Solanum lycopersicum: one gene and its partner. The protein of the gene in region 1 interacts with the protein of each later gene in a pairwise test. Links are inferred from orthologs where the notes say so. Each region holds a gene or a part of one and is shown on either strand. Other genes may lie near its edges. The genes, in order: sterol side chain reductase 2 and ataxin-3 homolog.

What was found.
Region 2: the proteins of sterol side chain reductase 2 (region 1) and ataxin-3 homolog interact in binary tests that used the Arabidopsis thaliana proteins (3 or more experiments, as listed by UniProt). The link is inferred for Solanum lycopersicum from reciprocal best matches to the Arabidopsis thaliana genes DWF1 and AT3G54130.

What each region holds. Positions count from the first base shown.
Region 1 is NC_090801.1:55,567,094-55,576,718, reverse strand, and holds sterol side chain reductase 2, read left to right. Parts: upstream 1-4,720; 5' UTR 4,721-4,745; intron 4,746-5,779; 5' UTR 5,780-5,802; coding exon 5,803-7,059; intron 7,060-7,155; coding exon 7,156-7,599; 3' UTR 7,600-7,797; downstream 7,798-9,625. UniProt on the Arabidopsis thaliana protein: Plays a critical role in the general process of plant cell elongation. Involved in the synthesis of campesterol, an early precursor of brassinolide.
Region 2 is NC_090809.1:64,646,905-64,655,276, reverse strand, and holds the end of ataxin-3 homolog, read left to right. Parts: intron 1-3,812; coding exon 3,813-4,394; 3' UTR 4,395-4,547; downstream 4,548-8,372. UniProt on the Arabidopsis thaliana protein: Interacts with key regulators of transcription and represses transcription. Acts as a histone-binding protein that regulates transcription. Acts as a deubiquitinating enzyme.

The DNA of each region.
Region 1 (9,625 bases):
AACAATATAAATCTAAAAAATATATATATATTTTATTTTTTTAATTTTAATTATTTATAAATAATTTATAACAAGCGAAATATTGAAATGAAGCACGAATATTCTACCAAAAAGCACGTGATTCTCAGATGGAATCATAACCAAAAATAGTAGAAGAGAAGGAATAGTCCGGATTTGGCTCCTCCACACTCTGTGTGGTGCAGTCACAATATGCACGTGTCTCTGCAATTATTTTAATGGTCGAGATTTATTTGGTGAGCTAAATATTTTTATTTATCTGTAATTGATTTTAGATGCTTATTTTTTTTAAAAAAAAAAAACTCTAGTTTATATTATTTCTGTTCATTTTTAATTGTTATAATTTTCTATTTTAGTGTTAAATTTTAGAAATTTTTAATATTATTCCAGCATTTTGATATTTAATAAATTTCAACTTATAATATTATTTTTTTATAATTTTTGAATATTCATTTTTTCTTTTGAAATATTGAAATAATATAATCTAATTTAACTTTAAAAATTAGTTAAATTAACTTTCAAAAAGCAATACGATAAATTAAAATAAACGGAAAAGTATTAAATATGCGGTTGATATGTAATTCTTTTTTTGGTAATTTAAAATTATGAGATGAATCAATGTTTGAATATATAATATCATTTCAAATAAAGAGAATAAATTCTAAACTTTTCAAAAAAGCTTAATTTGAAAATTTCATATCTTATTTTAACATTTTCAAATTAAAAAACAAATCTTTTACAAGTCTATATTTTATATAAAAAAATAATAATTATATGTATACAATTTTTTTGGAGAATACCAGAAGAGTAATGAAATGTTTCACCTAATATAAATATGATGATATAGTTGCTAATAATATTATTCAATAATTGACTTCTATTAGAGAGTAATACGTTACAACTTATGTTTGATTTTTTTTTGAACAAAAAATTATTCATAAATTTAGTTTTTTTTTCGAAACAAGAAAATAATTTTACTTTTGTTATGAACTTTTGCTTATTTGATAAAATTATATATATAATCAAGGCAATCTAATTTTTTTTGCAACTTACTAAATTTTTATATACATAATTAAAAGTAAAAGTTAATCATTCAAATTACGTGTCCAAACAAAATTTTAATTCAAAGAAAACTTCTTTATAATGATTTTGATTCAAATAGCTAAACGGATCTGATAAAATCGTCGACACTTTTTTCATAATTTAAAACAATTGATATTTCCAAAGTTCAAGTAAATAGTTGAATTTTTTTTCATATAAATATTTTAAAATTGTTTAGGATCATAAGTTTAATTTTATTTTTTTAAATATCATATCAAGTCAAATAATATCACCTAAAATAAAACACAAAAATTGATAATTTTATATTTTAAAAAAATAATAATAATAGTTTTTTTAAAAAATTAGCCGAAGAAGTTAAAACAAAAAGTAGGGATTATTGATGTAGTTAGCAATTCTGTCGATTGGTGCTTCAATAGAATATAATTTTGATTTTTGAATTTCACATATTCAATTACTATCTTCGAATCAACAATATTTTTAACATAGGGTTTCATAATAATGTTAGTCTATGTGTTCGATAACACTTTATTCAATATTGATTTTACATATTTTACAATTATAAATAAAAAATATGATTAATAATAATGAAATTTAAAAAGATAAATAAACAACTATCGTTGAAAATTTGGAAAGATGAAAAACGACATCTCATTACTCTATGTATTCATAATAATTAATTAAAAACTCTAATTTTAACAAATGGTCACTCTCTCACTGTCTATAATTTATATTTTCTGACATCACTTTAATCTATATACACGTTGCAGATCATATTTAACTATTGAATTTTCAAGATTCTTTTTATTTACCCAAGTTTTCCAGTAGTATTATATTTTATTGGAAATTTCTTTGATCAAAATGATTATTTTTTTTATATTATTTTATATTTTTAAATATTTTCATTTAGAATTTTAATATTTTTTAATTAAAAATAAAAAATATTAATTTATTTTAAAATAAAATAAAATTAAAATTTTTAATAGGAGTCGTTTGATACAAACATTAATAATGCATGGATTATTAATGCATGAATTAGTAATGCAGGGATTAATAGTGCATGAATTATTTTTTGTCAAGTGTTTGGTTCACTACTTTCCACTTAATTTTGTGTTTAATAATTTTGTGTTTAATTTATAATTCTACAAAGAAATTCTTTCCTATTATGCCCTTGTGTTATTATGAGTTTTTATTTCATGTAACTAATTCTAGGTAGATAATTACCGGACCGGATAATTTTTTTAAAGAATTATTTATTTCATTTAATTAGTTAAGTTAAATATTTATTTAACTTATCTTGACAAATTATCTTGAATAAAAAAAAATCAAAAAGAAATGAAGAAAAAAATATTAGTAAAATCATTAAATTACACCAAATAAATTTGGAGAATTAGAAAAGAACATTTATAACTACTCTAATATAAATAAAAAGGAAATTAAATTACAAAAGAATTTTTTTAAAAAAGAATAAAGGGTTAATTTAGTCATTTAAAAATTTTATCCAAGATTTAACAAATCTTAAATTAGTTATCCCTACATTTTCAAGGGATAAGATAATATCACATATGATGAATAAACAATACATAAATTAAATTAAATTAAATAATCAAATAATATATTTATTAAATTAAATTTTAATTCATAAATTATTTTACCTAATATGCCTCCAGATCGTTAGCAGTTTCATCTGATTAACAAAAGGAATCTTGAGCATTAAATAATGAACACGTGTAAAAATTTTATGAAATTTTAATCAAAGTGAATTTTATGAAAAGTTTATGTTATTCATAATGGTTTGAAATATAATAATACGTCTTTTACTTTATAAATCTTAACAAGAACGGAGAAAAATTATTCAGTAAATATACGATATTATTATTTATATATATTTATTAATGGAGAAGGAGTAAGACATTCTAATAAGATTTTTCTTTTAAAATAATAACTCGAAAATGCCTCTCAACCAATTGTAAAACAAAACTCCAAAATCTAACTTGCACGGTAGATTCGATCTGGGATAAGAATCTAATTTTAAAATAATTTACAAAATAACTTTTTAATCTTATAAAGCGTGATAATAATTAGTATTGGTTCAAAGTTAATTTCTTTTTATATAAATAAATTATTTCATATAAAACAATGACAAAATAATCACATAACGTATTTTAATTTCTCTCAGCTCATCATTTGCACTCAATAGATTCTACGTTTACGATATCCTATCTGATTACTCATAATTCTTATAGTTATTTTTTCTAAAATGCAAATTATAAAAATTATTTTATGATAAATTATTTATCATATCAATATGAAATAAAATCATAATGTATAACACTAATTATATAATTTTTTAAATTTTTAATTTTTTATTTAAAATATAAAATTAATGTATTCTAATTTTAAAAATTGTCCAAATTAACTTTCGGAAAGATACTATTATATAATTTTTTGTGGCAGACAAATCATTTATTGTTTCACCAAAATAATGCACTTGGAAAGCGGGCCAAAGGGGTCACGTGGTTGTCAGCGGACGATAAGTTACTTTGTCTTTTTCCCTATTTTTTATTTTCCAATATATTAAAAATGAAGTTTTATATTTAGTTTTCTAATTTAACTTATTAAGATAAAAATATCTTTTTAATATTAAGTAGCATCTATAATTATTTTGAATATTTTAAAACTAAACCTCACTTAATGAGTAATTATTATGGTAACAGTATTTTATCATCACGATTTGATCCTAATTGATGCAAAACCATTTTTTCATGTTTATTTTAATTGTTTCTGTAATAATATGTTACTTATAAGAATAATAATACCCGTTATAATGTTAAATCATCCGTAAAATTATCTCTTTATACTACACATATAAAACTATAGTGAATAATATTTTATGAAAAATATATTATATATAAGTAAAATAAATAATACTAAGTGTTTTAAATATGAGTATCTAAAAAAATAATATTTAAATAATATTCGTCAATTATATATAGGATTGCTTCTTTAGTGTTTAGTTTAATTAACAAAAATATTGCTTCTTTGTTATATCAAAATTATTAAAACTAATTCTTTGTCATACTTTTCTTCAAAAATAAAATCTAAATAGTACCTCACTTTAATAATCATGTAAATTTCAAATGATTATTATTAGTATAATGCCATTTAACGATATATAAAGAATAATTAACGACTCTTCAAAAGTGATACTTTTGTACTCTTTCTAACAATTTTAGTTAAGTAGTGGGGGCGTTTGATTGGTAGGCTAAATGGTGGGCTAAAGATATAAATCACACTTACAAAATGATTTTGGATTTTTTTATATTCATTTCATCATTTAAATATATATAATTCATATAAGACGGAGAAATATTGAAAATATTCATAAATTTAGCAAGTTTTTAAATTATGTTATAAGATTCAAGATGTACTATTTAAATTATAATTAATAAAGTAAAAATATTATTTTTAATAATTTTTACATATAATTTAAAAGTGTATTTAATACTTAGCTTTTTACGATTTTATCGATGTCCTCTGCCTACCAACCAAATAACATGTTTTTCCGTAAATACCCCTATTGTTGTAAGTTCTCTATAAAGCACACTATCATCTTTAACTAAACCATCTCTCATTTTGGGGAGTAAACTCTGCAATCCAATTATTAGGTACTCATTTTTCATCTCTTCTCAATTTTTTCTCACTATGATTATTATTTTGTTAAATTTAAGCTAATTTTATAGCTATTTATGCATGAAAAATCATAATTAGTGTTAAGAATTCGGTAGTTAATTATGCTTTTCTTTTTGTACAATGCATGACATAGTTAGAGTAGAACAAATTATTTTGTTGCTCATGAGTCATGTTTCACGCATGCTGAAGTTTTTGGGTTTAATTTTTTTTTTTGAAGTTAGTTTTATAAACCAATGTGTTGAAAATAATTTTCTGTAAAGAACAAATTATATTGTTGCGGAATCAGTTGATAATTTTGAAGTGAAAGAGCATAATCTTATTTTTTGGTAATGCTCCAATAGAAGCATATACTAGTAATTTTGTTAGTTTTGCATATCAAAGAAAAATGTTATTAGTTGAAAAATTATGTTGTATATATAGTCAAATTATAAATATTTAAAGCTTGGATATTTTTGACATAAGTTAGGTTTGAACTTGCTCTGTTTTCGTTTACTACTGTTCTTCCCTAAATTTGAATAAATTATTGAGAAAGCGGAATGGATTATTTCTCTTGAGTTTTTTTTTTTTTCTGAATATTTCTATGTTTTTTTTTGTGAATATGGAGGTAAATTTGTCAAAAAGTTTAGATGATTTTTGGAAGACAACTTAGATTAGTGATGTTTAACGATTAATTAGTATAAGTTGAGTGACCATTCAGATATTCAACTCCATATTTAGTCTATTTTACCTTTACATCAGTTGATTTTACAATGATAATTAGTAACAAGAAAATGGCCATGGTGCATAAATTTCAACTTTTAGTTTCAAGATTGTACTGAACTTGGCGTTTTTCGCGGGATGCTGTTGTTGTTAATCTGACTGTCAATAGCATTATGTTTTTGGGAGAGGTTTCATATTGATGCTATTTGTGCCTTAAAGTTTGTTAAGTAGTGCTCAATTGGTATGTGATTGATGATAAGTAGTACATTTCTTGGCTGTGGTTCTTAACTTGGATTCGTCGTTGTAACAGTTGTTTGTCCTCAAGTTTTCAAGATGTCGGATGCTAAGGCCCCCGTGGCCACTGCTTACCCTAAGAGGAAGATCCAGTTGGTGGACTTCCTTCTTTCGTTCCGATGGATCATTGTCATCTTTTTTGTCCTTCCATTCTCGTTCTTGTATTACTTCTCGATATATCTAGGGGATGTGAAATCCGAGAGGAAATCTTACAAGCAACGCCAGATGGAACACGATGAGAATGTTAAAGAGGTTGTGAAGCGTCTTGGCCAGAGGAATGCAGAAAAGGATGGTCTTGTATGCACAGCCAGACCTCCTTGGGTGGTTGTTGGAATGAGAAATGTCGACTATAAACGTGCTCGTCATTTTGAAGTTGATCTTTCAAAGTTTAGAAATATACTTGATATTGACACGGAGCGGATGGTTGCTAAAGTTGAGCCTCTAGTCAATATGGGCCAAATGTCAAGGGTCACTATCCCAATGAATCTTTCCCTTGCAGTTCTCGCTGAGCTCGATGATCTTACCGTTGGTGGTTTGATCAATGGGTTCGGGGTTGAAGGAAGTTCTCACATATTTGGGTTGTTCTCTGACACTGTTGTAGCACTTGAGGTTGTTCTAGCTGATGGAAAGGTTGTTAGAGCTACAAAGGACAACGAATATTCTGATCTTTTCTACGCTATTCCGTGGTCTCAAGGAACATTGGGGCTTCTTGTTTCAGCTGAAATCAAGCTTATACCAGTTGATCAATACGTGAAACTTACCTACAAACCTGTAAGGGGTAATCTTAAAGAGCTTGCTCAGGCTTACGCGGATTCTTTTGCACCTAAAGATGGAGATCAGGACAATCCTTCTAAAGTTCCTGAGATGGTAGAAGGCATGATTTATGGTCCAACCGAAGGGGTTATGATGACCGGTATGTATGCTTCGAGGAATGAAGCCAAACGAAGGGGTAATGTAATCAACAATTACGGTTGGTGGTTCAAACCATGGTTTTACCAACACGCTCAAACCGCACTAAAAAGAGGGGAATTTGTTGAGTACATTCCAACTAGGGACTACTACCACAGACACACGAGATCGTTGTATTGGGAAGGTAAACTAATTCTTCCATTCGGTGATCAGTTCTGGTTTAGGTTCCTCTTAGGATGGCTCATGCCACCAAAGATTGCTCTGCTCAAAGCCACACAAAGTGAGGCTATTAGAAACTATTACCATGACCATCATGTCATTCAAGATCTCCTTGTTCCTCTTTACAAGGTCGGTGATTGTCTCGAGTGGGTTCATCGCGAGATGGAGGTAAAAATTTGTTCGTCTTTTAGTCCGGTTTTTTTGGTTTTTGGCAATTCCTTTAACTAAAGCACATTTTGGTACATACGAATTGTATTTGTTTAGGTATATCCAATTTGGCTGTGCCCACACAGAATTTACAAGCTGCCAGTGAGACCAATGATCTACCCTGAACCAGGATTCGAGAAACACAAAAGGCAGGGTGACACCGAATATGCACAAATGTATACTGATGTTGGTGTGTACTATGTTCCGGGAGCAGTCCTGAGGGGTGAGCCGTTTGATGGTTCAGAGAAATGCCGACAACTTGAGCTTTGGTTGATAGAGAACCATGGATTTCAGGCTCAATACGCGGTGACTGAGCTGACAGAGAAGAATTTCTGGAGGATGTTTGATAACGGTCTGTACGAGCAATGCAGAAGGAAGTACAAAGCTATCGGAACGTTCATGAGTGTGTACTATAAATCGAAGAAAGGAAGGAAGACAGAGAAGGAAGTGCAGGAAGCTGAGCAAGAGAAAGCTGAACAAGAGACTCCTGAAGCAAATTGATTCCGAAGAATAGTAGAATTTCTATGACTTTTTTATTTTTTTTTTATTTTTTATGATCGTCTGTTTAGTTGGTTTCTAGTATGAATTTTCGCCTTTTAAATAAGCAGCTACATTGAACAAGTATTTTACTAGTAGTAAGGTCTGCTTGCCTGTTCCAAATTCAAAAAATGTTTCAAATAATAATGGCTAGTGCAGTTCAAAACTCTCAAGTTTCATTTCTTTATATATACATACTGCTTTTTTTTTTTCAAGACATTTCTGCCTCATGAAATTTGAAAAGAATTAAGATGCAGGAAGTTGTGTTTAGTCATAATTACAAATTATGATATTTTTCGAAATTTTATAGCTAAACATGATTTTTGAAATTTAATTTCGAAAAAAGTAATATATATTGATGGCCAAATGAACCTCAACATAACATGAATAAATAATGAATTATAAGAAATAAGGTATACATTAGTTTTGTGTATAAACGATACTTTGTCGGGTATAAATTTTTTTGGACAAAGGACAAAAATCACATACTTTTAAGGTAAAATTACAATTTGTTACTTATAAGTTTATAATTATAAAAATTTCTCAAACTCATACAATAATATAAGCGCGGATATATTAATTTGATGTGCGAGATACATTAATCGTTAAGTAAGATATATTATATTTTATAGATGATACACTAATCTAATGTACATTTTATACGTGATACACTAATCTGATGCGTGAGATATATTAATTTAAAGCGCTGATTTATTAATCTGATGCGTGAAAATGAGGAATTTTAGAAATTCGTAAAACTAATACAGGATAATGGTAAAAGACAAATTATATTAGTAATACAAGAGGGATTTAATGCATTAGCATGATTAAAAAGTCAATTGACCCTCAAAATATTTTTTACATCTTTTTCGCAATGGTTGTGAAAGGTTTTAAACAAATATTTCTTTGAAATTACTTCTTTTCCTTTCTTTCTGTGCTATCCCGTGAACTGTCAGTATCGAGACAAGTTCAGAATATTGCTCTGAGCGTAGACTAGTCTGCTCAAGCAGTCACAAATTATGAAATGTCGTCTATTTTAATATGTAAAACTAAATAATGAATAAAAAATAATTTGTATATATTAATACGAATATTATTAATACATTCTATTTAATATTGTTCCTATACATCCTCTCAAATGACTACTGAATGAGACCCTTAACTAGGGATGGTTATACGGGACCAGTTTAGCTTAACCCGCAAAATTTTTTATTTACTTCATCCACATAACAACTTTTTTTCATTTTCAACCTACCCCGCCATGCCTCACCCCACCTAACAATTTTTTCATTTTCAACCCGCTTCACCGCACATAACAATCTTTTTCGTTTCAACCCGTCCCAACCTGACCGCATAGAGCGGCCCCCATAATTTTTTAAATATTTTTTTCTAGTTAAGTTTGATACTAAAAATGAATTCATTTTTTAATTAAATTGTATTAATTTAAAGGACAATGACTTAGAGATTTATTTTTAGAGGTCAATTAGAAACATGTAAAAGATTGAATTATTTTTTATTAAACCATTTTCATTTACTATAGCTTTAAAGAAATCATCTTAAGAAATAATGCTCTATCACAATAATAACATGTACAGAGTTAAAATAAAATACGAACTCACGTAAAAACACACATACCCTAACCTGCAACCCATCCCATTCCGCCCTACATTATTTTTTTTTAAAAAAACCACTCCGCGTCCCTCCCACCCCACTCAACCTTAAACTCACCCCATCCCGCGTCCGCGCCACCTCATTTCCATCCCTACCCTTGACCCACCAATCAAACATATATTCCATGTTTTTTTAAAAAAAAAACTAAAGAAAAAAGTAGCCGTTAGAAAAGTAGAACGTTATGCCTAACGTTACAATCCCACCTATAAAAAACAATATTCTCTACATACTCCATTTATTTATTAAAAGCATAGCAAAGCAAAGAAATTAGGATAATAAGAGATATGGGTATGGTGGTTGTTATTTCTCTTCCATTTAT
Region 2 (8,372 bases), on another chromosome or scaffold:
ACATAAACAAGTAAATGATTCAGTGTGATTATTCTGTAAAAAAGGAGCGGCATTGTTTAAATCTGAATTTGTGCACTGATAGGTTCAACTTTTAAATAGGAGCTATTCTAGTTCTTATATCTAGCAAATAATCACCATATTATGTGACATATATGGCATCATCTAAATATAGCCACCCCAAACCAAATGAAAATAAAAAGAGAATTAGCTTGAAAAGGAAGGAGAAGAAAAAGAAAGAGGTGAACATAACTTAGATGGTGATTACTATGTACTCATTCTTTTAAACAAATCCCTTGATGGGTCCTTCCTCTAATCCTTTTCTTTGTGCAGATTACACTGGTTTCTTCTTTGGTTAATTTTTTGGAAACTCTAAGTCGAATTAAGATATTTTAGTTGTGAAAGAATTTTGATTAAAATACCTTGATATGACTGCAGTAAATGCTCTGTGATGTTAATCTCCGGAAAATATGGTGTGCTGTTAGTCTCCTAATCAGAAGTCATCTCTTTCCTACATAAAGAATCATCATGATTACCTACAGTACGTAATAGGAACGTTGAAAACCTTTTTCTGTAGCACGATTGTACCTGGTTTTATTACATGCCATTAAGGAACCTTTGTGTGATGCTGGTCTAAATTGGCATTGTATTTTTGGGTGAAGTTTGTAGGATGAATTCATGTTGTGCATTCTAATATCTGAACACTTTGTAGCCATAACTGAACTTGTATGACTGTAGAAATTGTATTTGACATAATGTATAGGCTGCTTACCTATAAAGTTAGGAAACATCTTGTCAGTTTGGCATATTTATTATGAAGAAACTCAAAATCCAACCTTCTATATGTGAAATCTTGTATATAAAGAACACAAAATCCAAGTTTAAAATGATGATTCTATGAATGAAATGAATATCGAAATTCCAGCACGATAAAGAAACAATAAATTATTGTGTCAACTATTTCTATAACATTTAGTGGCATAGGAATTGAGTCTTTATGAAGAGGATAAGGCTCCATATGTTACTTTTGTCCGAGCTTAAGTTTTAAGGGGTCGTTTGGTTGGGAACAAGTTATCCTGGGATTAATTATCCTGGGATAACTTATCCCACCATATATATTGGATAACTTATACTATCACTGTGGTATAAATAGTGGGATAAGTTATCCCAAACATGGTAACCAAACAAGACACAAAAATTTTATCCCATCACTATTATTTACCTTTCACACCAAACGACCCCTAAGTCTATAAGACCTGTTATGCTTGCAAGATTTGTTGTGGTTTTATATTCTCTTCAGGTAACAAGGTCTAGTTTTCGTGTGGCTTTTTTGTTTTCTTCCAAGCATAATAAATTCTACCATTGTAAATTAAAGATGGGTTTTTCAATTTTAGGTTACTAGAATCGTACTAGATTAAGGTAGGGCAAGGTTTTTGTGTATACTACCCTCCAAGACTCCAGTTGTGGCATTTACATTAGGCATGTTGTAAAATCACGCTAGATCATTGACAGCAATTAATGTCAGTATAATGAAATTCTCCTGAATGTAACATCGAAGAAGTTAATATGGTTTCATAATTTTAGGGCTGTTTTGACGTGGGAGCAACTTTAAAAATGAACTGGTCTTTCATTCATTCATTTAATCTAGTGATTAATCACCACAGTACACAAAAATATGGCACACTCTAAATGTGACCCAAAAAGAACTTTATTTTTTTCAAAAAAAAAAAGGAAGTGAGAAAAGGCCCTGGATGTTGCTTAGTGGTAGAAGAGGTGGAGTACAACCTAGCGAAGTTCAAATCTAAATAGAGGTGAAACTAGGTGAATTCTAGTCATCTCCCATAGTTTGTGGGGATGGACTTATTCCATACTCGGGATGCAAAGTTGGCTTGACACTAGTATTGTCAGAAAAAAAAAAAGAGAGAAAATAAAGTGATACTTTGAGAAAAAATGAGGAGAGAACATAATATAGACGAAAATCACTATATTTCTGTGACATTTTGTTCACAGAACTGTTGGTAAACTTTTTCTCTGGTTCCTGTTGTTTTGGAAATGACTTTGGTTTCTTCTTTTAGTTATAACTTTGGGTAAGTTGTGGAAGAGTTTTGATTAAAAGTAGCTTCATGTTTTTGTTCGTAAGAGCTAGTTGGTACTTGATGTCTTTACTCTTAAAAGCTAGTTGGTACCTGCTGAAATAGGTCAATTGAGATGCACGCGAACTGGCCTAGGCATTACTGTAATAAAAAAGTAAAAAATAGGAAAAATAGGAAATAGCTTTGTGACTACAGGTAAGTGCTTTCTGATATTAGTATCATTATAGAATATCACATCCTTTCCTCCTAATATAAAGAGTAATCATGTGAATGAAGGCACATCCTATATAAACCCATATCAAATATTTTAAATATTTGATAGAGTTAAAATTCATTAATTCAATCAGTCAAATACTCAAGTATAGCAAGCCCCTCTTTTTTGTGATATTATAAGTGCCCAGCAAGCCAGTGGTGTATGCAGGATTTTTTGTAAGTGGTGTCGATATTTAAAAATAAATAAATAATAAATAATTGATAAAATTAATAAAAATGATTTAAAATGTACTAAAAACATAAATTAAGTAAACTACTACAACTCTCCTCGACGAGTTTTGATATTTTCAAATGTATTCATAATAGCCTCATTGGGGATAGTACTAAATATTCTTCCTCTATATCGTCGAGAAAGCTCTTTCAACTGTAGCAGTAGTCACCGACACATAAAGCAAATTTAACTAGTTGAAACACAAGAGGATAAGTTTTGTGCTTCTTCGTCTCTACGAGTATCTTGGAAACATTACGAAGTTCCTTAAGACTGAAGAACCTTTTATCATGATCTCTAACATCAACAATATAATTTTCAAGCTGAAAGCGAAGGTCGACTATAGAGTATTTAGCATAATCATCAGGGTATAACTCAGCCAATCTCAATATCTTTTTTCCATATAAAAGTTAGAAAATGAATCAATTCAGTTTGGCTTAGGTTTTACTTTATAACTTATTATTGTATCCAATTCTGATTTGAATAAGTAATAAAAATTTTATAATAGGTTATATATGTAGTATTCTAGTTCAACTGGTTTGTTTTAGCCTAATTTGAGTAGAAATAGGAGGTTGGAGGTTTAAATCCTTCTTAAACTTTTCTCTTTTTCCTTGAAAAAGGAGGCTCAAAAATTAAAGCAAAAAATGCACCTACTGAGATTCAAACTCAGGTGTGTTGTGCTTCATTTGCGACGTAAACCACATGAGCCATGACACTTGTTTGTTCAAGGAGTGTAATTTTTAATATTTATACTTCTGTTTTAGTTTTTCTGATCTACATACAGATATAAATACTAAAAAATTTTAACGAAGCCGTGTCAGCTGACCCCCCTTGATTTAAGGTGGATCTGCCTCTGCAGCAAGCCTATTTTACGTCTGGTAGTAATGATTTTTAGGTCAAAATCAAATGTACTAGCTAGTGAATCCGAGAGAAAAGTTGAATACCAGAAGATAAAATCATGGTGGAATGGTGGAGATGCAGAACTCTAGTTTGTCCCGTAGTATGTAGCTTTAGCCTGAGTTAGTGCTCATTTTATCTGGCACAAGGTTTTGTTTAATGTGTTTGAGTGTGAGAGACAAATAGCATGTGAAATAACTAGTTTACACTAAGTGGAGAGAGATATTATGACCATTCGATTTGCATAATCCTGTCACTATGATGCTATTTTTCCAATGATTTCCTTTAAATCACCTTTTCGCTTTGGCTCTAGAAGCTAATTCTGGCTTGAATTTTCGTTACAGGTTTTGCAAAAGGTACTGGAGGTATGGGATCTTCAAATCATTCCACTGGATAGCCCAGTTGCTGAGCTGGCTCAGATTGACCCAGAACTGAGAAATGCATTTATCTGTCACTTGCAGAACCATTGGTTCTGTATCAGGAAAGTAAATGGGGAGTGGTACAACTTTGAAAGTCTCAAGCCGGCTCCTGATCACCTCTCCAAATTTTACCTTTCAGCGTATCTTGACTCCTTAAAAGGCTTTGGCTGGAGCATTTTCCTGGTGAGCGGAAAATTTCCCAAGGAATGTCCGATCTCTTCCTCTGAAGCTTCTAGTGGATATGGACAGTGGCTGTTACCAGAAGATGCGGAGAGGATTACCAAGTCCTGCAATGCTGCACAGAGAACAGGTAGCAGAAGTGGTCAAACTCAGTGGCAATCTGTTCCCTACCGCCAATACGAGGAACAAGGTATGCTTTTAGATGAAGAAGATGAGGATTTGAAAGTTGCAATTGCTGCCAGCTTGCTGGATGCTGCCCCCGCAGTCAGCACCAAACCTGATACCTTGGAAAATGAAAATAAGGACAATAGTGCAGCTAATGCATGACAAGGGAACATTTTCAGTGTTTTAAGCCGGGAAAACTTATGAACTGTTTTTTTTCCTCATAATTGCATCCGATACTGGATACTAGTTCATAATTCTGCTGCATAAACAGTGATGTTGTTTCTTATTTCAAAAAATAAATTAAAAACGATACACATGGACGTTGTTTGTTGGCTAAGAGCAAGATTTTTATATAATTTGAAAAGAAAAATGAAAAAAACTTGATCTTCATAGAATTTGTACTTTGTAGTCATTTCATTGAGACAGTTCTTATTTCACTTTTTTGTTCTTGTTTTCTTATTTGCTGCTTGTACATTTTTTGGATGTAAATATTGTTTTATGCCATGTGATCGTCTCTTATTTAAATAATAACTAGGGGTTTAATGCCTGGGCGAATTTGTATTGACGTTGTACGGACGAATTTTTTATTGGCGTGAAAATAAAAAAGACGTGGTCATGTTTAAAATATATTACATTACTTTTGTACAAGGTTATACAGTAAGCTTGCTAATCAAAAGAGGGAAAATGGATGTTAGTGGTGTTGGGTATGTAACAAGAATTGATGGGAAATAGAGGGAAGGAGAGGAATTTGAAAAGCTTAGAACTTGAAAGGTTGGGAACTTGAGAAGTTCTCTAATGCTTTATTTAAAAAGGCAATAGTCGCTCATCGGTAATGGAAATGAAAATAGGAGAGTTTAAATAATAAACACTCCTATTAATTGTTAAAAGGGTTGGAAAGAGGGACCCCCTCGCGCCGTCGTCGTCGTCGCTCGCTTCGGCTTCGGCTTCGACTTTGGCAAATGATCGATCAAGAGATAATTTTTTGGACAAATTTATTTTAATTATTTATTTAATTAATTTAATGGCCAAAAATTATTTTCAATTAATTAGTTGATAACAGAAGTTAACCGAAATGTTTTCAACTTTTTAGTTAACTCGACCCGACTCGAATCCGCGCGCGTGACCCGTTTTAAATTCCGTTATATTTATAAAATTCCCGCCATGACTGTTTTGAAAGGTTGCAACTTTCAGGAGCAGTCAATACCATTTAAAAGTTTGCAACCTTTCATTAATGGTCGTGTCAATTCTGAAAGGGTTGCAACCTTTCAGAATATATTCTTCTTGCCTATAAATACCATTCAGTTTTCAGAAATTTCCCAACGAATTTTTCTGATCTTCCTTGTTCTTAAAAAACACATATTTCTTCGTGTACTTTCCTGCTGTGGATTGATTCGCTGTCAATAGAGTTTTTGGTATCTATACTCTTCTGATTAAGATCATTTTACCCTGGGAGGTTATATTCCAAATTAAACCTCGGATACTAGAGAGGAATAATTTCCTTAAGGGGACACTGTGAATTCAGTGGACTTGATTTTCTTCCTAAATTGTCAAAAAAAGAGTATCCCAGATTCTGGTAAGTTTTACAGATTTCATTTATTTTTTACAAATAAATTTCTGTTCATCTTATTTACTGGTTCTAAAAATCTCAGTTACTTCGTGTTTCTGACTGATTTATTACAACCTGTAATTTTTTATTTTCATAACACAGATTGGCAACAAGTGGTTCAACTGCGTGTTTGGCTGTCAAAGATGGATTCTGAATGGAGTTCTGGCAAAAAGAATTGACTAGTCTTTGTGGTAAAGCAGAAACTGTACAAAGTGGTGGGGCAATTAATTGACTTCATGAGATCTACAAAAGTGAGCAAGCTTTGTATTTCCTGTGAGGCAGTAACATTACATCAAATATGTGGATTTGAGATTATAGCATAAACAAATGAAATTGCCTTACCTTTCCTGTACCGAGGTTAAAAGTAGCCGCCGAAAAGCTTGGATTAACTATAGAAGTTGTTTTCAAAGAAAATGTCTGGTTAGTATGTTGGAGAAACAGTGGTTGAACAATGAATTAAGAGTGATAATCACCTTTAGTTTGGTTTTTCTGAAGTTGGTGGCTGCAGCTTGTGTTTTATTCTTTGTGATGATGATTTTGCTTGTTCACTCACTTGTTCTGGTCCAGTCTGTTGTTTTCTTTTGCTTGATTCCTGGATATTGGTTTTGTTTGGTGCTGTAGGGATAGTTGGGAATTCGGCTATAGATTTGGGGGGAAGGGGGGCTTTTGGCCATTTTCTCTTAAATAAATGACTTCTTTATAGTTAACTTTGTATTTATCACTCATCAACCATTAAAAGGATAAAGGATATTTTATTTTAGGTTGTTCCTAAAGTTGACATCGATTTTCACTTAAACATCTTAAGTAGACTTTGTTCATTTTGAACACCTCAATTGAGGGTCTATTGTATCATTTTGACACGCTTTTGATAATTAGCTAAAGGCCTAACCCATCGGTGGTCTCTTAAATTTGGCACAAAGTTTCACTTAATCACATGTCATATATCAAAATAATTCTAAACTAATGATTTTTAAGTAAAAAGAAAAATAACCACTCACTTGATGACACGTGGCATTTACAACTCAAATAATAAATATTTTTTAAAAGGAAATTCAACAAATCTAATTCTCAAGAAACTCACCCTTGTCTTCTTCACCCCCTCCTTTTTACTTCTAAAAAAACAATGGAAGAATTTTTTTTTTTACTTTCTCGTATGTGCAGAGGATTCAAATACGTGAACACGAAATAGAGTAATTATTTTATGGCGCTGAAATTTAATTGTTGGATATAAAGAAACAAAATGAGCAGAAGATAATAGTTGTGGCAATTTTTAGATCTGAAAAATTAAAAATTATTTTGATTTTAATATGATCCATGGCGATGTTGCATTAGCGTGGTTTGATGGTGTCTGGTAGATGAGATAATCACAAAGATTGAGGGGAGAAGATGAACAATGTTTTAAAAATAATTTTTTTGGCCTGAAAGAAAGCTCCTCACGCGCTGACTTTGAGTGTATTACACTTAGGAGCGGACATTCGGTATTTCGGTTCGGTTCGGTTTTTTTTTCGGTTTTTTCGGTTTTCGATTTTTGTTAATTGCGTACCGAATACCGAACCGAAATATTTCGGTTCGGTTTTTGTTAATTCGGTTTGGTTTTTATTAATTCGGTTCGGTTTTTTAATGGGCCTGTTTAGTGGGCTTTTTAAAATTTTAAACTTAACAATTTTTTCAATTTTTTGTTTGATTTTTCAACTTAATGGGCTTTGATATTTCAACTTAATGGGCTTTGATATTTCAACTTAGGGTTTCTTATTTTTTTAAAAAAAATTATTTAATATTAATAATTATTAAATATAATATAATTTATAAATTATAATATAATATTTCGGTTTAAACCGAAATACCGAATTCCAAAGTAACACGTACCGAAAACCGAATCAAAATATCGAAAATACAAAAAATTAAACCGAATACTGAACCGAAAACCGAAATACCGAAACCAAAATTCTGAAAAATTTCGGTTCGGTTCGGTGTTTCGATTTTCCGGTTTTTATGCCCACCCCTAATTACACTCACTGTCATGTGAGCGCAAAGTGTCAAAATGACACAGCGAGATCTTATATGAGGGTTTTAAAATGAACATCGCTCAATTAAGATGTCTAAGTGAAATTTTGTGTCAAATTTAAAGAGTCATCGATGAATTAGACAAAATTAATATATTTTTAGAACTATGACCAAACACATCAAACTTTTCAAAAATATTTAACATTTATATAAAAGCCTAATCCAAAGTTAGACGGAAATAATTCTAAGAAGTCCAAGGTTGAATATGGCCGGAAAAGATTGAAGGAGGACTTGTCCTGCAATTTAACTATGCAGCTAGGGTTTGTAAAATATTTACCAAAATTTCCCTTAAACGCCGTCGTCGCTTCTACTGCTTCTCATCAAAGTCTATATAAATATTGCGTTTTACCCAGCCAATCTTCTCGTCATCGGCGCTAGGGTTTCTCAGCGTCTTCTTCAAATGATAAACTCTCTGCTCAATCGGTTCCTTATTTCTTTCTTCTATGTGTTTTTTCTTCTATTTTGCAATG